Linked DNA regions of Lytechinus pictus. The protein of the gene in region 2 purifies or fractionates together with the protein of the main gene of each other region. This does not show direct contact. Links are inferred from orthologs where the notes say so. Each region holds a gene or a part of one and is shown on either strand. Other genes may lie near its edges. The genes, in order: THUMP domain-containing protein 1-like, RNA cytidine acetyltransferase-like and protein AATF-like.

What was found.
Region 1: the proteins of RNA cytidine acetyltransferase-like (region 2) and THUMP domain-containing protein 1-like purify together in Homo sapiens (co-immunoprecipitation; 3 studies listed by BioGRID and IntAct, counting the BioPlex papers as one, with this or other methods). This does not show direct contact. The link is inferred for Lytechinus pictus from reciprocal best matches to the Homo sapiens genes NAT10 and THUMPD1.
Region 3: the proteins of RNA cytidine acetyltransferase-like (region 2) and protein AATF-like purify together in Homo sapiens (affinity purification with mass spectrometry; 3 studies listed by BioGRID and IntAct, with this or other methods). This does not show direct contact. The link is inferred for Lytechinus pictus from reciprocal best matches to the Homo sapiens genes NAT10 and AATF.

The regions. Positions count from the first base shown.
Region 1 is NC_087254.1:17,881,725-17,889,995, reverse strand, and holds the start of THUMP domain-containing protein 1-like, read right to left. Parts: upstream 3,185-8,271; 5' UTR 3,116-3,184; intron 1-3,115. UniProt on the Homo sapiens protein: Functions as a tRNA-binding adapter to mediate NAT10-dependent tRNA acetylation modifying cytidine to N4-acetylcytidine (ac4C).
Region 2 is NC_087253.1:12,147,236-12,155,388, forward strand, and holds the start of RNA cytidine acetyltransferase-like, read right to left. Parts: upstream 3,512-8,153; 5' UTR 3,447-3,511; intron 1,598-3,446; 5' UTR 1,557-1,597; coding exon 1,449-1,556; intron 868-1,448; coding exon 776-867; intron 1-775. UniProt on the Homo sapiens protein: RNA cytidine acetyltransferase that catalyzes the formation of N(4)-acetylcytidine (ac4C) modification on mRNAs, 18S rRNA and tRNAs.
Region 3 is NC_087250.1:8,038,987-8,047,706, forward strand, and holds the start of protein AATF-like, read right to left. Parts: upstream 3,134-8,720; 5' UTR 3,115-3,133; coding exon 2,985-3,114; intron 1-2,984. UniProt on the Homo sapiens protein: Part of the small subunit (SSU) processome, first precursor of the small eukaryotic ribosomal subunit.

The DNA.
Region 1 (8,271 bases), on a different chromosome or scaffold from region 2:
AGTCTAGATTCAAGTCGCCGGCGCATAATAGGAAATTGTACCAAAAATCAACAGGTTGCATGTCACGTATAATCGCTGATGGCGCTACATCATAAAATAACGGTGAACAGCGAAAAAATGCTGAGCGCCTAGAACGCAACCAGCAGTCATGGCAGTACAGCTGATCTGACGTCAACGATGCAAACGGTATTTTATAGATGGCAAATATAGCGATCTTCAACGCTTATATATAAGCGTCGAAATTTGTAGCCATCTCCTTGTATTAGTCTATAATATACGACGTGTCAAATTGTAGCGAACTAGTTCGCTATTTCCAGATCTCCTCTATATATATATATACGAGGGGGAATTGTAGCGAACTAGTTCGCTATTTTCCAGATCTCCTCTATATATATATATACGAGGGGGAATTGTAGCGAACTAGTTCGCTATTTTCTAGATCTCCTCTATATACAAACGACGGGAAATTGTAGCGAACTAGTTCGCTATTTTTCGGATCTCCTCGATACACGAGGGGGAATTGTAGCGAACTAGTTCGCTATTTTCCAGATCTCCTCTAGATACATACTACGGGATTTGTAGCGAACTAGTTCGCTATTTTTCGGATTTCCTCTATATATATATACGACGGGAAATTGTAGCGAACTAGTTCGCTATTTTCCAGATCTCCTCTATATACAAACGACGGGAAATTGTAGCGAACTAGTTCGCTATTTTTCGGATCTCCTCGATACACGAGGGGGAATTGTAGCGAACTAGTTCGCTATTTTCCAGATCTCCTCTAGATACATACTACGGGATTTGTAGCGAACTAGTTCGCTATTTTTCGGATTTCCTCTATATATATATACGACGGGAAATTGTAGCGAACTAGTTCGCTATTTTCCAGATCTCCTCTATATATATATACGACGGGAAATTGTAGCGAACTAGTTCGCTATTTTTCGGATCTCTTCTTTTGTAGCGAACTAGTTCGCTATTTTTCGGATCTCCTCTATATACGACAGAAAATTGTAGCGAACTAGTTCGCTATTTTTCGGATCTCCTCGATATATACACGAGGGGGAATTGTAGCGAACTAGTTCGCTATTTTCCAGATCTCCTCTAGATACATACTACGGGATTTGTTCGCTATTTTTCGGATTTCCTCTCCCTATATATACGACGGGAAATCATAGCGAACTAGTTCGCTATTTTCCAGATCTCCTCTTTATATATATACGACGGGAAATTATAGCGAACTAGTTCGCTATTTTTCGGATCTCTTCTTTTGTAGCGAACTAGTTCGCTATTTTTTGGATCTCCTCTTTATATATACGACGGAAAATTGTAGCGAACTAGTTTGCTATTTTTCGGATCTCCTCTATAAAATTTTATACACGAGGAGGAATTAGTGAACTAGTTCGCTATTTTTCTAATCTTTATATATACAAGAGACGGAATTGTAGCGAACTAGTTCGCTACAATTCCCCCTCGTGTATATAATTTTATAGAGGAGATCCGAAAAGTAGCGAACTAGTTAGCTACAAATCCCGTCGTATGGATATAGAGGAGATCTGGAAAATAGCGAACTGGTTCGCTACAATTCCCCCTCGTATATATATATAGAGGAGATCTGGAAAATAGCGAACTAGTCTGTTACAATTTGACAATATGGCATCAATATATACAGCCAAAACCTGCAGATTTTCACTTTGAAGCCTTCACAATAATGTAAGCTTTGGAAAAAATGACAACTAGTTCGCTACAATTTCCCCCTCGTGTATATGAAGAGATCAGAAAAATTGCCAACTAGTTCGCTACAGTTTGCCATGTTTATATTTTAGAGAGGAGATGAGAAATGGCGAACTAGTTTGCAACAATTTCCTGTCGTATACATGTAGAGGAGATCCGAAAAATAGCGAACTAGTTTGCTACAATTCCCCCCTGGTGTATATATAGAGGAGATCAAAAAAATAGCGAACTAGTTCGCTACAATGCCCCCTCGTATATAGTTCGCTACAAATCCCGTCGTATATATATAGAGGAGATCTGGAAAAATAAAAAAATAGCGAACTAGTTCGCTACAATTCCCCCTCGTGTACATATCGAGGAGATCCGAAAAATAGCGAACTAGTTCGCTACAAATCCCGTAGTATGTATATAGAGGAGATCTGGAAAATAGCGAACTAGTTCGCTACAATTCCCCTTGTGTATATATCGAGGAGATCCGAAAAATAGCGAACTAGTTCGCTACAATTTCCCGTCGTTTGTATATAGAGGAGATCTGGAAAATAGCGAACTAGTTCGCTACAATTCCCCTCGTGTATATATCGAGGAGATCCGAAAAATAGCGAACTAGTTCGCTACAATTTCCCGTCGTTTGTATATAGAGGAGATCTGGAAAATAGCGAACTAGTTCGCTACAATTCCCCCTCGTATATATATATATAGAGGAGATCTGGAAATGGCGAACTAGTTCGCTACAATTTGACACGTCGTATATTATAGACTAATACAAGGAGATGGCTACAAATTTCGACGCTTATATATAAGCGTTGAAGATCGCTATATTTGCCATCTTATTATTTCCCCGATGCAAACAAGCAAGTTTATTAAATAATATCGCGCGCCCTCTCAGTGCGTATAGAGAGAACCAGCGAATCGGCCCCATGGCCATGCCTGCTTCGACATCAAGAAAAATCATCGATATAAAGTCAAGACTAAAGTACCAGAAAGACAGAGAGGAATTGAAATTGGCTTCATCATATCGTTTGGTAAGTTTCATATCCAAACTCCAAAGTTTATCTAATTTGAAATCTGTAATGTATTGCTAATTTAAAAATAATAAGCTAAAGGTGTTGCAAGTGCCGTGCCAGTGGTTATCCTGTGCACGGCGGCGGTAATGTACCCGTAGGTTGAGATGTGTTGGCAAATATAGTCTACTGTCCCACGTATCCTTTTTTGTGTTAGTGTCTTTTGTTTGAGCTAAGTAAAACTAAAGTAACAACGTTAATTCACAAAGTCAACATGGTCGGCAATGCAACCAGACTACAGTACAAGATGTAGATAGGCCTAGGTAGATATGGTGACAATTAACTTCCTCATGAAATAATTGTTTGCTGCAACTACTTACCTTTATTGACGAACTGCACTGCAGTGACCAGTGACTGTGTTTGCCGTATGAATGAATGAATGAACTGAAGTAAGCTGAGTGAGTAAATTGACTACCAGTACCGGTACTGTGACCTCAAATGACAAACGAAAACGAAAAGACAGTTCTTTCATTTTCATTTTTTTCATTTCATTTATTTCACATTAAAAACCAATACACACAATTATAAAAGACAGAAAAACATACAACAAAATTAAAATACGATGGTAAATAATGTGACCGGGGCTAGAAAAAGCAGAGCTTATCGAGTCTAGCCCCGGCAGAAATGGAGAATACGAGAAGGAAGGAGAGGCCCACCCCGGGAGCACGTACGGTCAGAGGCATTAGGCACTCTAACCGTGACCAACTAAGCTCCTGGAGTAGCTCTCTCCTCCAGTGAACACTTTAAAATCAACCTAATGGAAATAAGGGGGGGGGACAAAAAAGGGAATTAAAACGAGTTACACACTGATTTTGATTAATGATTATTTAGAATTGCACAGATAACTTTTGTATTTCATCTTAAACTGCCGTAATTTAATGACGGACTTTGTTTGATGTTAAAGCAGACCATACTAGATAGCCCTGATACTTCACACTTCTCCATTGCTTCTCTGTCCTGCTGTAGTGGTCCTGAAATATATGCTATGTCATTTCTTTGAGTTACGAGTATTATGACAATTAATGGACATCACTATTGCATTTAAACCAATTTTGGAGTGATTTTGGTAGTAATCCCTTTTCAGACCTGTACATGAATTTTCCAAGTTGTAACTTACACAATTCGTATATATAGTTAGTACTCTAAATTGTTTTAAAAGGTTTTTTGTGTGAGCCAGATAATGAGTTTTACCAATTATACGTAATGCACGCTTTTGCAACAGATATAATCGATTTAACAATGTATTTGATTCATTCAACCAAAGCATATTCCCATATTGTAAGTGAGGTAGAACCAAGGTATTGTATAACAAGAGTAATACATTTGATAGTAGTACAGATTTCAGCTATGACATAACGCCAATTATTCTTGATATCTTCAGTGCGATATCGTTAACATGTAAAGACCATGATAATTTGTCATCAATACTAACTCCCAAAAAACGGGTACTACTCACTTGCTTTAAGGGTTCTGATGAGTCCGCAAACTTAAGTGAAAGTAAGCTCTTATCATATTGTTTATTACATGGGACAAAATGCATGAAATTTGTTTTGTCAATGTTTATCCTTAACCCATTCACTTTATACCAATCATTTACATTTTGTATTTCTTTATTCATGTTTTGTATTAAGGTACCTAGGTCTTTTGCACTTTCAAACACATTAGTGTCGTCAGCGAAAACAATGTATGACAAAGCAGAGGATGCATTTGGTAGGTCATTTATATATACAATGAAAAACAAAGGCCCCAATATTGACCCTTGGGGTACTCCACAAGTCAGCTGTTTTTTAGATGAAGTTGAATTGTTATAAACAACATACTGTTTTCTGTTTTTTAGATAATTCTTAATCCACTGTAATGACAAACCCCTCACACCATAGTATTCCAGTTTTGATAACAAGACTTGATGATTAATTGAGTCAAATGCTTTGGATATATCTAATGATAAACATATGGAATGTTTGCTCTCATCAAGAGAAGTACACATTTGATCAAAAAAATGTGTTAAGGCTAATAAAGTTGAGTGTCCAGATCTAAAGCCATATTGGAAATTTGTTAAAATTCCTCTTTTCTCAATATAATCCAACAATCTTGAATAGAACAGTTTTTCCAAAATCTTAGAAAAGACAGGCAAGAGAGACACCGGTCTATAATTACAAAATTGGTCGGAAGAGCCTTTCTTATAGATCGGAGTCACCCTTGCCAGTTTCATACGAGAAGGAAATGTACTTGTGGACAGTGAGAGGTTAAAAATATGTACCAGTGGAGCCATATAGAGATTCTTTGATGATAGAAACTGTTATATTGTCATGACCAGGGCTTTTACCTATTTTCAATGCCTTTATTTACTATGTCTATAATTTCATGGCCCTGGATTGGTTTTAGAAACATTGACTGTTGGTACTGACCATTCATTAAGGACCTACACTTCCGCAAGTCAGTATTACCTATATCTGTAAATGTTGTCCCAATGCTTATGAAGTATTCATTGAATTTGTTTGCAATCTCAACAGGATCTATAACTTTATTGTTGCCATCACTAAAACAATCCTGATTTCCTTTTTTTGCACCTCTATTCAAAATACTATTGATAATATTCCATGTTCTTTTACTGCAACTGCTTTCTTCAAATTGCTTAGTATAAAAATATTCCTTTGTCTTTCTAATAATTGAAGTTAATGTATTTCGATAATATCTGTATACCTTTTTCCTATACTCGGAAGGGTTTTTCAAATATTTTTTTATAAAGCTCTAGTTTCTTCTTACATGATTTGAGTATTCCTGTTGTAATCCAAGGTTTATATTCTCTTTTTCGACAACGTTTTTCTTTCAAAGGAAAACACGAATTGTGTATGGTATTAAATTCATTGATGAATATATACATCATAAGTTTGTCACATGACTCTTCACGCATTACCTCATCCCAAGAATGCTCAGCCAAAGCAACCCTAAATTTGTCAATGTTTGAGCGTCTTTGTTGAAAATGACCCACGCCATACTAGTGCACTTGCTCAAATCACTGCAACCAGGTAAGAATATGGTATGCCGATGCAGTGCACAACACACACTTTAAAAAATCATTAAAATAACACTTTTGTGACCAAAAATACTAATTTCCCTATAGTGGCAATTATTTTTCATTAGTAACTTGGGATTAATTTTTGCAGCTTTGTGTCAATGATCACCGTGACTCCTAAACAGTGGCGTACCTTGATAAAAAATGAAAATATATTTCACTTGCCTGGGAAAACTCTTTCGAAACATTTCACCGCTCAAAAAAAATTAAAAGTGCAGGCTTATACCATATTGCTTTTTTCCTCTCGTTTAAACATGAACTGGAATGTGTACCTTGTATTTGTAATATTTTTTTCCAAAGTGATTTAATCTTGCCTGCCATGACTAAAATTAGTCTCAATATGCCATTTGATTAATTTCCCCTATCATATATATTTTCATGCCACTTTTGTATATGTCCATGGCACAAAATAAAAAAGGGAATCACTGAAAGTAACTAAAGAACGAAAGAAAGAATTAAAAAAGAAAGAATTTAGAAAGAAAGAAAGGAAGGAAGAAAGATAGATAGAAAGAAATAAAAGAAAGAAAGAAAGAAATTAAAGAAAGAAATAAGGAAATGCCATGCAAAGATAAAGCAAAAAAGGGAAAGAAAGAGAGGGTGAACAAATGGGTGAAGAAAGAATGAAGGAGAGAGAAAAGGGAAAAGAGAATGGAGAAGAAAGAAGGAAAATTAAAGAATACTAGATCGATCGAAAGAAAGAATAAATAAGGAAAGAAAAAAGTTTCCTTCGTTCTTTGAATAAAGGAAATTAAGAAAAGGAAAGAAATTAGTTAATGTGTGAAAGAATGAATGAAGGAGTGAAAGAAAAAGGGGAAAAATTAAATAAGTAAGAAAAAATGAGGGACGATCGATCGAAGGAAAGAAGAAAATAAAGAATGAAAGAGAGGTAGGAACGAATGAAGGGAAGAGCGGGAATGAAAAAAGAAATAAAATAATGGAAGAAGGAAAGAGAGAGCAAAAGGAAAAAGGAGATCTGTCAATCAGATTTACGACTGCATGGGACCGACCTTTAACGTCACCATCCGAAAGACGTGACCAGGACTCGAACCTCTGCATCAATTTTTAACTTCCCCACATAGCTTGCATGGATTTCAGGCACACGCCACAACGATCAACTTGGGTTTGGCAAGTTTCATAGAGTGGCCTCATGTTCTGTCATAGGATATTTTCTGCGATTTTTGTTCTTTTCTCTTTGCTTATTATAATGTAATGATTTATTGTTGCTGTTGTCGGAATTGATTATTCATCCAAGACTCAAGTAAGTATACTAGTATAGGCCTATAAATAACTTCAAGAAAAGTGTACGTTGGGCAAAAAATGCCCAACTAATATAACCATAGAGCTATAGCTGTATGATACAACCATCCCTGCATGGGCAATACTGTCCACATAACTATTGGTTAAAATCTGCCCAAATTGGGTAATACAAACCAATGATTAGGTATAATAAATTTGCTCAATTGAATAAAAATTGTCCAGGATTAATATATTCTTTTTAACCAACATACGTTAGGCCCATTGGCGGCGGAAGCCAGAAAATTTAGGTTTAGGGGGGGGGGGCCACCAAAAATTTTTGACAAGCAAAAAAAATAAATGGGGATTAGGCCTACCCATACCCAACACAGAGGACAGTACGTTGCCCAACATTTTAAATGGGTATACGTACCATACCGATATCCGTAGGGGAAGGCGGGGTAAGTTGAGCATATAGGGGCAAGTTGAGCCACCGCCCCAGGCTAATAATGAATGAGTCAGATATTAGTGGTGGTGTCATGTATTAATGACCCATTACATAACCCTTTACCCAACCACATTGTTTTTTAATTTGAAACAAAAAGTACTTTTTTAGAGGGAAAAATACAAATTTCAGCCAAAAAAGTAAAAAAGGGTGTAAAAATTAAAGATGAGTGCTTTTTACCCACACACGTCTTTAAATATAATAAAGAAATAAGAACAAGATTGTTAGTCCAGGTATGGATCTTCATTCTTGTCATAGTCTTTTAAATGATGGATGCATAAGAATTGTGTGGATGTGAAAATATCGCATTAAGTTCGGACTGGGGTACTTTGAGCAAGCCAACATGTGGCAAGTAAAATTGTTGAGCCATGGTAATTCTTATTGTAATGTATAATAAAACCAAAAAAAAAACTTGAAAAGCCATTGATATGCAAGCAGAAAGGTGCAAATTCACATGACAGTTCTTTTACTTTTAGAGGATGTTAGTATTTATAGGGAATTAGCGAGTGGAAGGACTTGAAATAAAAAATTGACATATGCTGCTTCTTCCCGTATACATTTTGTACTTAGTTTTTGTGGCACAACTTACCCCACATCCCGGGGGGGCCACTTACATTGACGAGTGGATACCATGCGCGACCAAAAAAACACGTAAAAAGGAT
Region 2 (8,153 bases):
AAATATAGTTATAATAGTTACATAGTACTTTAATACTACTTTGAGTTTCTAAGCACTTTTCATGTAATTACTATTACCCCGGTCATCAGATCCCAGCATGCCCGCAAACAATGTAAGTCCTTTCTCCACCCTGGGCAGTATTCAAACAAGAGTTCCAAGACTCAATTGCGAGGCATACTACAGTTGTATATAGAAGAACAGAAGAGGGTACTGTATGTTGAAGTTTGCAGTTGGTATGTATGTCAAGATAACATTTGTAGTAAGGTAAGCCAAACTTTTTTTATTGGTTGTATCTAATATCCAGTTCTTTTTGTCTGTAGATGGTTGCCATCATCAAAGCTCAGTCCATCCCTTTATATGTATTTCATATATGTATTCCTTTATGGGATTGGAGGGCATTTTAGAAAATATTTTATTCATGTTTGAGGCACGAATCAAACTTTAACAGAAATAAATGCTGCATGAAGTACTTATGTACTCTTTGAAGACAAAATTGCTTATCTAAAGTTCCTAAATAATTACTTGTATTCTGGGGGTGTTTCACATGAGTTAAAGGTGACCTGGAGTCACACTTAAATGTTGCGTGCGGGATACATGTAGAAGGCATGACCCTATTGGTCAAATGAAAGAGGACACGCACTACTGTGTATTAATCAATACGATTGCATGCTATATCATGTGCAGGTGAGTATTTAAGCATAACTCTAAGTCCCACTTAATTCTTTGTGGAAACCCCTCCTGATGTACAATGACATATTCATCATCAATAACCCACCTGCTAAATCCTAGTTCTTTCTTGTAACACCATAGTACAGATGGCCTGGCCTTCACCACAGCCTTGGATAACATATGATGTAGAATCACAACCTATACCGTATATGACAAGAAAAGGAATAAAAAGGAAATACAGAGAAGTGAGGTTCTTTCAAGCTCACTTGGTACAATTATTGAACTACGGGCTGGCTGAATAAATGTTGAACAAGTTTATTTATTAAAATTTGATCTTTCTCTTTTGTATTTTTTAGTTCATTTCATTTTAATTCATTTTTTCATAAACCTTTTTGGGACAGAAGGCAACTGCCATTTATTATAAGGTTAGCCTTTTTTTTGTCCCCCGGCATTCCAAAGAAATGCATTCTATAATTGTCAGATGTAATTTTACATTGTATTTCTTTTGCAGAATAAAATGATAATTATAATAATCTCCATTTCACAACATTATTTTGTTGTTTACTTCATATTATTGCATTTTGGGGCTCAAATGACAAGAAGGAAAGGGGAAGAGGGTAAATACAAATCAAAGTAGGAAATTCGATAGGCCTATAAAATTAATTCTAAATTTTTTTTCAAAATATTTCATATAAAAGTTCAGATATCAAGATTATCAATAGAGCACATGAGTCTATGACAGGAAATCTACTATGTCAACAGCCCCTTGGAGAACTAACCTGATCTTTGCCTTTGTCTCCTACAACCACAAACAATGACCTATGACCCTGGGTCACGCCGTTCTCTATCTGTACTCTGATGCGGTTATCAATCTTCTTGCGAACCATCTTGAAAATCAACTCCTCGCTATGTCTTGGTCAAGCAGTCTCTGCAAAATATGAATAAATAGTCAAATAAGCAAGAGGACCAGCATTTAAATTATTTCCAATATAGAAATTTAATTTTCAAGTATCAAGAAAAATCTTCAATAACACTTTGACGTATATTTTTAAAGTAAGATGTATTTTTTGTTTTCTTTTATTTCTTTTTGATAAACCTTATTATTCTGCTAAATTAAAATGAGAAAAAATAGAAATGGAGAAGACAAACAAGTGGAACGCCTCTGGCAGTCTCGCCTGCATTACGCAATTTAATATAGCAGCAGTGCTAACTTTGAAAACTACTATAAAATAATCATTCATATAATGACATAATACCACGTTCATTGACCATAAATGACATTTGAACGGAGACTTAAGACTGTCAACTACACCCATGTCCACATTTCATTCACTCTATCCATAAACTTTCAAAGTTATGATGGCACTTCAACAATTACCCCAACATGGCCTAAGTTTATTAACTGACCTTTGACTTGGTTTTGTGACCTGAAACTCACAGGGGATGTTCAGTGATGCTTGATTACTCTTATATCCCAAGTTTTATGAACTAGATCCATAAACTTTCACAGTTAGGATGGTAATTCAACAAATACCCCCAACACGGCCAAAGTTCATATGCGCAGCGCATGATTTTCCAATTCCAGGACCAGGCCTTGTTTCTGTTTACATGCATATTATAACAAAGTGCCTCTGACGCTTTTTTTAGAGGGGGTCCGGAGAGCCCTACCCAAAAGTAAAACCCCGGATTCTCAACTCGCCCCGATTCGTAGACCAAAAGCTTCAGTCTCTGTATTTTGGTTGTTCCGCTGAACTGCGTTGGCTCACTGACCAATACATAGACTGAAGAGGATGGGGGCCCTTACCTACAGCCAACGTATAGTGAAGTAGCGTTTTATAGATCGCGATTTAGAACTGTTTTTTAAGCAAATTTAAAAGTTTCATGGTTTCTATTATCAGGGAAATATAAATAACTTAAGTAATTGCATACCTTGGGCCAGAGTTATTGAAAAAAATCCTCTGGATGATTGAGAAATCTGTCATCTAAGACATTTTCACCTGACCTGACGGTTTTTCTTGCAAGTTGCCATCTTGAATGACGTCATTATCGTTATTAAGTTTTTAATGTCTCGATATATCGCGATTATAACTAGTATCGTTTATCTTCGTGTAGTGTATCGTATCGTATAAGGAGCAGATCGTATAATATCGAAAGCAATATCGATATCACATTCGTGATTGTTGACGCCCTCTCCGTTCGTTTGTAAATATTTCATAGTTTGGCTGCCATTTTGACCATTTTTATCGTGTTCAACCCAATTAAACATCGGTAAAGTATAATTTTCATGCCTTTTCATCTATATCGTTTAAAGTATTTTGATAATGAAATATCAAGTTTTAAAAGTTTGTTGGTTATACATCCTTAGATTGTAAATTCGATGTGTAAAATTACATCAAACTTTGGACTGTGAATTGAGGTCAAAAGGGAGGGAATGAGAACACATGCGAGCCCACACGTACACCCTACCGTCGGTAAATGGGGATTACAGTAAAATGTCAGAAATTGTTGAATAAATCCCCAGAAACGACGGTTATTCCTGTCTACCCGATTCAAAGCTCGAGCTCCAGTGAGACCGAGTTTGATTAATGAAAAGCACGCAGATATAAGCGCATGGGACCAAAGACAATTCCTCGCTCTCATTTCACACTCTGTAATTAACAACAAATGTCAAAAATATCAAGTTTACAACCATCCAACAAACCAGTTCAAAATTATATAACCACATATTGCAATTTTTACATTCAAACCATGAAATCAGTGAAGAATGCCGAACTTACATGAATAACTTGCAGACGGAGCAGACTCACGCACGTGTATTGACAAAGCGCCCTCTGTTGTTGACATGTTCCAATTCAATTCAGATGGGATGACGTGAAACGTAAACTTGGCCGGTCTACAACTTTCTACTTTGCCTTTGCCTTCAATGATTATTATTTCATGTCCTGGTTTCATGTAGCACAGTTTATAAACAAATAACAAATTCATGTCTCAGATTCACATCTATCGGAATATGATAATAATAATTTCAGATCTGAATAAAATTAGTGTACCTTGATTCTAAAATAGTCACATGAGACTCTCGATTCTGATTGGCTAAAAGTTTATAACATCTTACCGACCCAAAATGGGGGAGGGGCCGTGTGCACAATCCTTTCGATTCTGGTTGGCTGAAAGTTTTACAATCTTTTTACCAGCCAACATAATGAACGCTGATTGACTAAAAGTTGCTGAATATACCGTGGCGCGGGTGGAGATGCCTTCGAACATCGACTGGCTAAAGTTTTAGAGAATCTTCATTTGGCAAGAGTGTGGGTAAGAAATGTAATGAGCAAAAAAAAGGATGCCATAGACATGTCGTATGTGGCGATTTCTCACGAGCTGCGATCGAGAGAGGGAATTAACTTTTGCCATTTTTGATGCGAAAAATCTATATGATTTAGTAATAGGTTTTGACACAATATTCAGGAATTAGCATTTAACCCAGTTCCCTTTCCTTTTATTTTCTCCCTTTTATTTTTGGTCCTGAGTCCTGTGAAAATCGGGGGGGGGGTCCATGCCCCCCCCCCCCCTAGACACACACACACCATGTACGCGTGGAGTATTCAATAAATTTTTACTGATCGATATTTGTAGCACTGGCGTATACAGATGGAGAAATATCGGAAGGTATATTTTTTTTCAATGTTACAATGTTTTCCATGTTTTCAATGTTCACAAATACCCTAAATTACACTTAGTTTTCAAAATGTCTAAAGTATTGCTCAAGTTGCTTTGTTCGCTCGGAATTTTAGATATTTTTTACCACATATGCCATATTGTATCACCTCGCTATATATTTTCCCATTCCGCTAGTGGTTGGTTCAATGTAAGCACTTGGGTGTAGGAGACTATCAATTTAATTAAACTAATAAATATTAAACACTAATTAGAGACCACTTAATGGAAGAAGAAAGCTATAATGTGTATCTCGGGCCCCTCCAACACGCCGGCCTTTTACGCACCTGTCCCCCCCCCCCCCCTGCCACTACTCTCGGCATCTAGTTTCCTATTCAATGGCGCAATAGCTGCTAAAGGCGCTTGATGGTGCATTCAATGAATTAATCCTGCCGGGTACCCATATTCAATCACCTTACCTGGGTTGAGTGCAGCTCAATGTGGATAAATTTCTTGCTGAAGGAAAACACGCCGTGGCTGAGATTCTATAACCCACGTCCCTCTCATTGAAAGACGAGATTCGTAACCACTATAGACCACGTACGACGCCCCCACTTTAGAGGTGCAGTTGAGCAGGGGCTAGAGGGACTTAAGCCCCCCCCCCCACGTAAAAGAAAATGACCACAAGGGGGGGGGGAATATGTATACATAGCTTGTATACCGAATGTCTGCTTCAAGTACTCTAAATTAAAGATTAAATATCATGCCATTCAAATTTTATAATTAACGCTCCCTCGCAAAATATAAATTCAGAATGCAATGATTCATGCTCTATCAAACATGACAGAGTGAGAGTATAGTAAGCCAATGAGTTCCCTGCAATACACTTCCGTTTATACCCAGCTGTTTGATATGAATCCTGTGCCCCGTCTTACAAAGAGTTGCGATTGATCCGATCAACCTCCTCAAGTATATGGAAATCCATCAATGTCATAATTTTTTCTATAGGAAATTTGCACAATGTCCTTTGTAAACAAAAAGAAGTATAGTGAATTTTCAAGAAAACAATGAATGCATGAATATACATCATAGAAAATATTTTGAACAAACATGAATAATACATGTTGACGTTGCTGGCCGTCCATAGCTGCGATTGATCGGATCAATCGTAACTCTTTGTAAGACGGGGCCCAGGTCAACAGTAGATAATAAATGAGAAGTAATTTTTTCTTCAGATTAAACCCCCTCCTCTTTCTCCTACTTCTCCTCCTCCTCCTCCTATCCATTCACAAAATTATTTTAAACCATTTTGTCTAATTTAGTAAAAATCGCTCCACATCTCTTACAAGTCATGATAGTATTTTGCTTCTCTCTTGGGAAATGGCTTGATCGTTTTAATCTCCCCGAAAGGGGCTAAATTTATTTTGAAATTGATTTTATATTGATTTGACCCTATTTTCTACAGTAATTACAGACTCGTGTGTTATATGCAGATTGGTAAAGCCTGGAAGCCGGGGTGTAATAATTTTCTTTTACAGTGGTCTATTCATCTTGAAGAGAATCCTATTAATGACTATGAATTTATGTATGTTTAAATTTGTTTTGAGGCTCGCAATAACTGAGTGCTCCGCCCAATGCTATAAGTTTCACTTCAGGGTCCCATCGTATAAAGAGTTGCGATTGATCCGATCAATCGCAACTATGGATAGCCAGCAACATCTAACATGCATGTTCGTTCAAAATATTTTCTAGAAATGACGTATATTCATACATTCACTGTTTTCTTGACAAATATCAGTATGGTTCTTTTTGTTTTCAATGGACATTGAGCAAATTTCCTAAAGAACAAAAATATGACAATGATGGATTTCCATATATATGAGATTGATCGGATCAATCGTAACTCTTTGTAAGACGGGGCCCAGAAATGTTCTCCTTGATGAAAATCCCTTTTTAATTTTGGTAGGGGGTGTCATTTGCGTTAAAACCCCATTCCTGCAATACCATATTGAAGTTTAGCTCTTGAAAAGTTGAATCCCAGAGGAGGGGGGGCACACAAATTATTTTTTGATGGGGTTGTGCCTCACGAAACTCTGAAATGGGGGTCTAAGGAACTGACTAAAAAGGTAAAAAGTACAGGGTCTTGGGAACTAAATATACCACTGCACGCGGTGTGAAAAACAGGTTCGGGGTTGAATCTCGCGTATAAGCCCTGGAGAGGACAAGCCCCTTCTATAATGCCAGCGCCTTAGTTGCTACCTAATATCGCGACACATGGAAATGGGTGATGCTTAATAAATACATTCTCAAGCAGTGTGAATACATTATAGATTGCAGGGATTTGCAGGTTGACTGATCAAATTTTGGATTTATTTTTAATCCTAAAACTTTCAAATTCAAATCTCGAGGATTTGAATTTATATCCTTTATGATTATAAATTCAATATTCGGGTTAACACTGAATCCAGAATTCGATTGGTCCCTAATTACATTACGTTATATATATATAAATCCCTGCGATTTAGAGTACAGTTGATTTTTTTTACATTCGGTCGCTGCGCTTCCTCCCTTTCCATTTTTACCCTAGTTAATGCAGTTTTATATTGATTTGTAATTGTCAGAGAAATTATTATATTAATCTAATTATTTTTTTTCACCAGGGGTCCCGCGAAAAGATTGACTATATACAGTCATAGCCAATCATATAAAGTTCGACTCCATTGTATTCTATCGAACCTTAATTGTTAATTACTATTTGTATCAGTTTATTAATTGCAGGGTCTCACATAAACAAGCGATGCATTCCAGTGAGTTTTTTTTTTTCATTTTTGTTATTTATATTCTGCTTTGTACAAGTTAATCTGTTTGAGTTTGAAATGAAGAGGAATTCACTTAATCGTATCAATCAATCAATCAATGTGTAGGCCCTACAGGCATAGCCAATCTGAAACGGAATACGATACCGAGTTCTATACATATAGTTTGTATTACATTATAATAACAATAATAATAATAATATGAACATTTGTAATGCGCCGGTATCCATCATAAAAAGATGCTCATGGCGCAATAAAGAAAAGAAAAGAAAAGAAAAGGAAAAGGAAAAAGAAAGGAAGGAAGAAAGAAAGAAAACCTACTAAAAAGAGGGGTAGAATAACAATTACCTAAAAGCTTGCGTGAATAACCAGGCTTTAAGAGAACTTGTGAAAGTGGTGAGACAAGAAATATTGCGGATTTCTATTGGCAGTTTATTCCATATAAGCATGTTGAAATGATCGATCCCCCCATGAATTATGAGATTGTGGTACAGCGAGTAAGAATGAACTAGAAGACCTAAGGTTGCGAGAGGGATTGTATGGAGTAATCAAGGAAGAGTTGTATTGAGGTGCAGTTCTGTGAATAGAATGGAAAACAAGTAGGAGGATTTTAAATGTAATGCGCTGTACACATGGGTGTCGATCGGTATTCCTGGTTGGGGGGGATGATAGACACAAAAGTTCTTGTGGATGGGGATCTTTCAACATTACCCCCACTAAAATCACAAGTTAAGACATTTGGGAGTGATTGATATGCATGGTGTTCTTGGAAATTCCTTCATTGTTGTAGTGTAGTGTACTTATATAATTTTTTTTTTTGAAAATTCAATTTGTGTTACAAGTAAGCCTATTCTAAACTCATACGAAAGAAAAAATGACAAAAGTTGTCTGGACCATAGTGATCTGTTTATTGAGCATGATGTATACACATGGGCGTCGATCCATTTTTCAGATAGGGGGGGGGGCAAAATCATGAATCAACGTTCCAAAGGCGCTCGATCATACAAAACGAAA
Region 3 (8,720 bases), on a different chromosome or scaffold from region 2:
AAGTCTCCAATATCAGAGATGCCAACTTTTGGAAATCAGAATTAGGGAGGATTTGCAACCGACACCAAATTATGTGCGCGTAGCGCACATCTCGAGCGCGGAGCGCTCGACCCTTGCGGCCGGGGTCGAGGGCCCGCCTTAGGGCCCTGGAAGCTCTGGGTTTCTAGATGCTCTCTGGTGCAATCTGACCCTTATTTTGGAGCATTTCACATGTTTTTAAAAAAACATTGTTCCCACTTTTTTGACATAAAAATAAAAATATCAAATATGCATTTTTACATGTAAAAAAAATGAGGGGACAATAGAAGAAAAGTAGCCTACCTTTTCAACTATAATAATGAGGAATTATCCTCTTTATTATTATTAAAGCGCGGGTAACGTCTTCCTCCTCGCTGGTCCCTTGCTTGGTGAAATAAGTCAACAGGGTATACTAGTGGAGCTCGAAGATCTCGTCTTCGCAATGTCCGTATGCCGTTTGTTCCCTACGTGCTTCCGAACATCATCACGACCTCCGTGCTCAACTTTAATGTCCACGCTGCAAATTGTGCAAAATGCATGGTAGATTCCTCTTTCCGACTTCCGAATACACGGGTACTGGAGACTGTATTCAGTCTTATACTTCTGAGACCATTTCTTGGTCTTTTTTTGTTGATTTTCCGCCATTTCGTGTCAATATCAACCCATCAATACGCCGAAATCACACACCGATATTCCATCGCACCACTCGACAAATCCAGCGGCCGCGAGCGCACACGCCTCGCGAAGCTAGCCGGGCCTACCGGCCTGGTGCACAGTGGATTCCCGTTGGGCATATCACATGCACCAGCTTTTCGCTGCTCCTTATTTGTCTGCCTTTCACACAGAATTTAGTAGCAGCGAAACGTAATGGAGTTACTACATGCTAAAGTTAGCAGACGATACATGTACTTCCAATCCAATTTGATCAATGCAAAAAAAAATCGTAATTTCGGGAGGATAAGGATGGTAATCGTAAGGGCGGGAGTTGGGATGAATTTTCGGGAGCCTCCCGATGAAATCGGGAGGGTTGGCATCTCTGCAATATGAGAGATTGTCTCCCATATTGGCCAGTAGAGGCGCATGGCCAATATTGGAGACTGTCTCCAATGTGGGAGATTATCTCCAATATCAGAGACTTTTGTAAAGAATTTGGGTATCCAACTTCAGAGACAGTCTCCAGTTTTGGAGATCAATTTCCTTTGTTTACATTTGCTGGAAAAGGATTACCTTGGCGGCAAATAAAAATTTGATAAGCAGATTCCTCATGAAAAATTACCCCTTTTCACCGTCTACTTTAAAAATTCACTGTCTACTTTGTTTTGATAAGGATTTCTGTTGTCAATCACACACAAAACAAATGGGCTTCTGACCTCAGTGAGACAAAATTTTGGGTGGAAAAAAAATCATGTTTTTGTTGGTGCTGTTTCTTTTGTTCTTTTACAAAGCAAGTCTCCAATATGGGAGATTGTCTCCCTTATTGGAGAGTCTCCCATATTGGCCGTGCGCCTCTGACTGATAAGCAAACCGACGCGCCTACACAAATTTTGTGCATATCCGCGAGAGCACCACTGATTAGTGCGCTATGGCCGTGCCTACCACAACAAGATTAAGTAACAATTTCAAATAACAAAAAAAAAACATTATCATTAAGATTCAAGAATTCCAAATCACACACACACAGCTCAGCCTCAGCGCAGTTTTGGCTTCGTACTCACTGGCCAACTTCGAGATAGATCTGTTTTTAGTGTTAGAACTAATCCACCAGTCATGCCAGTAATTGATCGCAAAAGTCAAAGCAAGTCTCTTAATCAAATTCGCGATTCTAGCCAGGCGCCCGACACTCATTCAATGGACAAGGTTATGATATAACCTTGTTCTCTGTTATATCTCCATGTGTGGCAAAATATTGAGGGTGGCAATATTTGGCTTATTTTCTCTTTTTCTTTGGGACAAATGCTTGATTTTTTTTACAGAGTTTCCATTACACCTATTCATCATACAACTTGGCTCTGCGCTCTTACGTAAATTTGATTCTTTAAATTATTTTTTTCTGAATTAAAATAGAGATTGAAAAATGAAAATTTTCTTGCCATATTACTTTCCACCAATAGAGGGCGTACACAAAAATATCCCCAAAATTCAAGTTTTTGAACGCTCCGGTGAATACAAAAATTATTCCCAAGTTACTGATGTCATGATTAATGAAAAATAAATTACCTTGTAGGCCTAGTTTCAATCAGTAGAGGCGCTGGTCAGAAAATTGGGATCGTCCCAGTTTACAGGGACTGTCTCAGTTTATAAGGATTTCTTCACACAAGAAATCTAGGAAAGTTCATTCACCTGTCAAGTGCCGACACCAATCAAGTGTGCTAGTCAATGTAAACATATCGGGTTTCATAACAAGATTATTGGAAGACAGTAAGTCATGAAAAATAGACGGTGAACTGGGGGGAATTGAGGTCACTGAATCTATTTTTAGCACTCTCAATTCCCGTAATTGCTGTCTTTGTCCCGTAGGGGGAAGTGAAAAAAAAACGTCCCCATAAACAAGGACAGTCTCAATTTATCAAGACATGATTTGTCTTGGTTTATGAGGATATCCTTGTTTTCTGGGACAATCCCAATTTTTGGACCAGCGCCTCTACTGTCAATCCCTGAAGTACTCCACCAGGAAGGGTAACTGTATGGAAATTAATAATTTTGGTCAAAAAACTGATATTTTAATGATAGATTCCCCACAGGCAGGATGGTTGCAGTGAACAAGTGGCGCCTGCGCCTGAGAGCTCCTGGCCAGTGTCTTCGTTTGCTTGGCTTCGCCTTCGGCTGCTACTCGCGGCGGCGTGGCTCCCCGATAATCTCGGTTACACAAAATGACATGTGTGGGACTGAAATGACACACTGCTCTTTAATGGCAGTATCGTATTATCTATATAGAACAATATTTATTCAGTAAATATCATACTCACTTTCATCCCAGTAATCAATAGGATCATCTACAGGTGTAGGATTATTCAAAGCAAGAATTTGCTCTGAAAGCGTTACTTGTTTGTGTTTCATTTTTCGTAGCTTGTGAAATTTGCTTTCCCACACGAACATGCATTTAAATGCTGAATGTAGCACACGTACGTGTACTGTGCAACTTAGCACCGTATCTTCCAAGAGCAAGTTAGAAATGGAATTATTTCTCATATTCAATAATACTTAAATATAGTTTGTTTTGTATATAATTATAGAACACGGTTGAGGATTGAAACAATTCGGAATGGGTGTCCACTCGAAGCCAACATTTAAACAATTTTTTTTTTTTGGGGGGGGAAGGGGGCAAGATTCGAACAATATTTTCTTGATGGACGTTTAATTTTAACTGTGGTGTGAATATCCTCAACCGCTGCATGGTACCCGGCATTTACCTGTCTAGGTGCGTACAGTATAAAAGGCTTGACCTCATTGGTCAGATCGTGTCATGAGGACGCGCACTATACTGTGTACATTGATCAATAAGTTCGCGCGTTGTAAATCGTGTACACATATTGGCATTTAAGTGCGACTTACGTCATCCCGGCTTAAATCTTTGTGAAACACCCCCTGGGTTCGCACTATGTGGGTATATTTCTTGCTGAAGGAAAACACGCCATGGCTGGGAATAGAACCCACATTCCTCTGATTGAGACGAAAGTCATAACCACTAGACCACACCCCCCACATCATTGTCTCATTTGCATATCACTGTATAGTTGCATCGTGGTTTATGAAAAATAAATGAAATTTCAAAATGTCATTAAATTCTCATTTTACATTTGATTTCGATTGAACTTATTAATGTCATGCTTGGCTGATTTTTCTCTTTTTATTCAAATAAATGTTTTGCTAGAGTCCATGGATTTCCATTTTAATTTAAACCACACCTCCCGCCAAAGTTCCCCGATGGTGAATTGCCAATTCGTCTACTGCCAACTCGTCCACTCAACACATGGTCTACTTTCATTTAGTCTAATGCCATTTCGTCTAACAACCATTTGGTCCAATGACCATTTGTTCCAATCATCACTTCATCTAATCACTATTTCGTCTATAGATGACCATTTCATCTCATAATCAGTTGGTCCAATATCCGTTTTATTTTCATTCATTTTGCACAATTAACACTTGGTCCAATTAGACCAAATGGTATATGGACTAAACAGTTATTGGACCAACTGGTTATTAGACAAAATGGTGAGCCTAGTAGAAGAATTAACAATCATGTGGATAGTGGACGAACTGATGGTAGACCAAATGAGAGTAGACGAGTTGGCAATATTGGACGAACTGGCATTGGACCAATTGGAAATAAACCTCCCCCAAATGCACCATGTTGGGCAACAACAACAAGAACAAAAGAGTCATAACAAAGTAGAAATCACATCAAATATTTATTCCTCATTTTCACATTGTCATCCAACTAGACCGTCATCTGAACGAAATATACATAATATTTACTTGAAAGTATAAACAAAGGGTATAAAATAATTTATAGAGAAACAAAAGTAAGGCTTTCAAATAAAAACATATATGAGTTTTAGTCTGAATATATCTGATGTACAAATCCAAAGGATTGACTTTTTTAATTCTGTTTTTATTATTAACAAATTCAGCCAATTGCAAAATTGACTAAGGATTACTAAATGATTGCAAATCACACAAACACAGGACGGTCAATCCTTTGTCTTAATCACTAAATATTAATAACATTTCTTAAACAAATATCAAATAGTCATCTCAAAATACATATCTGCATTGTCCCTCCACACACACAAACAATGAAAGGAATCCATAAATGCTAAGATATAGAAGTGATCAAATACATGAAAATCATATAAATGGCAAAATGAATAAGCAAGCAGATAAATTGAATGAAATATTTGTCTGATAAAAAAATTGAAAAAATTTTCTGATTTGTTTATTATTCTAAAATTTTCCATGAAAAAGTATTAAATTGCATCATGCATCTTCCCTGATTGTAGGTGTTGTAACCAGTTATTTAAGTTGCTTAATTTCGATCTTCTTTTCAGTTAATACACAATATTTATGAGGCAGTGATTCTCTATATTTGCCCATTCACTGGCGGACTATATATTACCCGAGCTTCAGCTCCAGCTGTTAATATTAACGGTGCCTAGTGCATTGATGGAATTTATCGTGACCAGGTACCCATTCACCAGGGTTGGGCACAATTACAAGGTAATTGATCAATTATGTAAGTAATTACGTTTTATTAGTAATTGTAATTGTATTTGAAATTTTGAAAGGAAAAGTAATTGTAATTGAAAAAAAAATGCAATTGACTTCAATTACTGTCAATTACATTTTATTACTTTACAATAAACTTACTTAATTTATGATTTAAATTCATGACATTTTACATGTCAACTGCTTCAGCATCAAAGAGAGAAAGAGGCAGAATCGGTGCTCTTTAACACATAGTTTCTCTGTAACTTAGAATTATATTGAAATAGGTGGTGCTACGTACAGAATACAAATTAATTTCATTTATGACTTTTATAGAAAATAACTAAATGTAATTGTAATTGACAAAAGCAATTGGCAATTGTAAATGAAAAAAAAGTAATTTAATTGAAAAGTAATTGTATTTGAACATTTCTTCAATTACGTAATTGTTATCGTAATTGTAATTGAAGAAATTGAGCCCAACCCTGCCATGCACCTCACCTGGGTTGAGTGCAGCACAATGTGGAGTCATTTCTTGCTTAAGGAAATTACATGTAAACCATGGCTGGGATCTGAACCCATGAACCTCTGTTTCAAACGCGAGAGTCAGAACCGCCAGACCACAGCTAGTCTGCAAGCAGACTCATATTAGAAATTTTATGACCAATCATACCATGTCTAGATTGAAGACTATATGTCAAGCTCTCTGTCTGTGCCAGCCACAATACATAGTGAATCTAGTCTTACTATTTCAGACGCTATTTAATATGCACTATGCGAATTGCAAAAACCAAGTGTCTGTGCCATGCAGACTATGCCACCGTGGCAGCTGGAATGTTCATGTGCATGTAGAAAGGTATAAGTACAATATACATATTAAAATGTGAAAGCCAGTCATGATAAAACCTTATGCACGAGGTAGAGAAAGAAATAAAAATCGATGAGTTATAGAACATTATATTTCAAATCTTTTCTAGTTTAATACACGTAAGAGAACTTTCATTGCATTTTTTTTCACTTGCAAAGCCTGTCGGTCCATATATGCAAATACGGTAAATGATAAAGAAAGGGTAAAAAAATATAGATAAAAGTACTGCTTAATATCATACACAATACTACAGACACTTTTTCAACAAAAACAAAAAAACACAAGGCAGTGAGGGGGTGAAAAGTGTCACTTCTTTTCTTCCTCTCTAGGGATTGTCCCTACACTGCAAAAACTCTGGTGTTGATTTAACACCAGCCCGGAATCTGTATAAGTCCACACGAGACAAGTGTTAAACAACACCAGTTTGGTTTTGGTCTAACACCAGATACATGTAGGTGTTTATACAACACCAATTAGTATTAAAACAGCATCAGTTTGATTCCAAACTGGTGTTGTTTCAATACTTCTCTGGTGTGGACATATATATTCCGTGCTGGTGTTAAATCAACACCGGAGTTTTTACAATGTACGAAATAGAAACTATAGGCAAGTATGCATTTTAAGACAATGCATGACTACTTTATCTCGGTTGATTCAATACAATTTCTAGCAGTAGGGGAGACCGGGGTTAGTTGGAACATGGGGTAAGTTGAAACATTGTAATTTTCTTTAACGTCTTTAAATAAATTTCTGCAATACTGCCCTCAAGTTATTGTCATTATCAACGGCCATCCACCATATTACAGACAACACATGTGCAACAAGCCTGGTGAAGTTAGAAACAAATTTTTGTTTTTTGACCTTCTGAGTAAATTTTTTCTCGTTCAGAAATGTTTGATTATCTCAGAGAAGTTTACAGATCAAGTTGGCCAGTTTAGGGGTATAATAGACACTTATACCAAGCTACAAAATGAGGTTATTAATATGCCATGGTGAAGTCCCTTTTTTGTGCTGTAAGCTTATAAACGTCAAATGAGCCTCCGGGGTTAGTTGGAACAAAATTGAAGGGGCTAGTTGGAACATGTTCCAACTTACCCCAAACATAATTATGAATGAAAATATTGGATATGAGAAAAAAAAACAAAGTATTTCACACTCTTCTGAACATGTATTGTATACCATGCTTGTTTTGTTTATCAGTTAGGTCTGAGTGTGCATTTAAGGCCTATTGTAGGCACCTAATGCAATGTTAACCCTTATCAAAAGGGGGGGGGGTCAATTTGAGCCCCCCTCAAGAAATTTTGTCACTACGCCGTCGCACGAATTTTTTTTATTACACTGCTAGCTGACTTTTTACTTTCAAGTCTTGTGCATCATTTGAGACCAAATTTGTGATGCCTGTGTTTCAAAATTACGCAACAAAAATTACGCAACAAATTGTATGTGCATGTTCGGACCCAAAATTGTTCAAAAAGGTGATTCCATGTACAAGGTCAATGCAAATTGCGTTTTTCAACCAAAAGTCATAAATGTATGATTATTTTTTACTTTTGCTGGTTCACATAGATTAATTTTATGCTATTTATGATCGCAAAAGACTCCTGACAAAGTCCATCGGAGAAAACAAAGTTCGAAAAAAAAAAAATACATAAGAAATTATATTTTTTGCATTTTTTGGTGGATATTTGTTATAAATGTGAAAATTGATACTCTCACCAAAAATTCTACTAGCTTAATAAATATAGTTTAAGGCAAAAACATACAAAAAAAAACAAATTTCTGGAAAATTTTATATGCTTATTTGCATAATTAATTATGAAAAAAATAAAAACAATCAATTTTTGTCTCATAAATTTGATGCAGAAGTACATGAAATTGCTGATAGTACACTTAATTGCATGTAAACTCAAACGCACCCAAATATGCGGAATTCTACTACACAGTCTGCTTGCGTGAGTGGCTGTATAATAGAAAACATAAAGTTCAACGAATCCACACTTTAATATTTTGAACTTGAATAAGATAAAGCAAATAGGCTAAAACCATGTAATATTACAGTTTTAAGTAGTTTTAGTATAATTCTTAATTGACCATGCAGTGTTCCAACTTACCCCATACCATGTTCCAACTTACCCCGATATGGGGGTAAGTTGGAACGTTTGCGATAGTCTTGTTCAAGGTGGATTTTTTCAGTAACCATAATAGAGTTAAAAATTTTATGGGGTACATTTGAAGCCCTGAGATATATGCTTCAAGCTGATATATTTATTGTTTCTCGAATAAAATCTATTTGGATTTTACAGCCATTTTTGTCAAAAATGTTCCAACTAACCCCGGTCTCCCCTATTTATTAAATAATATCAATACACATCACATATTCAATAATCTGATTACTAAGTTATTAAAACACGCATTCAGATTATTTTCTGGGTTATAAAACACATCACACATGTACATGTATGCAATAATTGAACATAATCAATTACCTATCTGATTATTGAAAATTGCACTCAAATATATATATATATATATATAGTGAAAGAAATGGATGAAGAGAACAATGGTAGGCGTAGCTTAAATCAAGGTTTCCCAGAGCTATCTTCCCTTTGGAAAAATTGGTTATGCC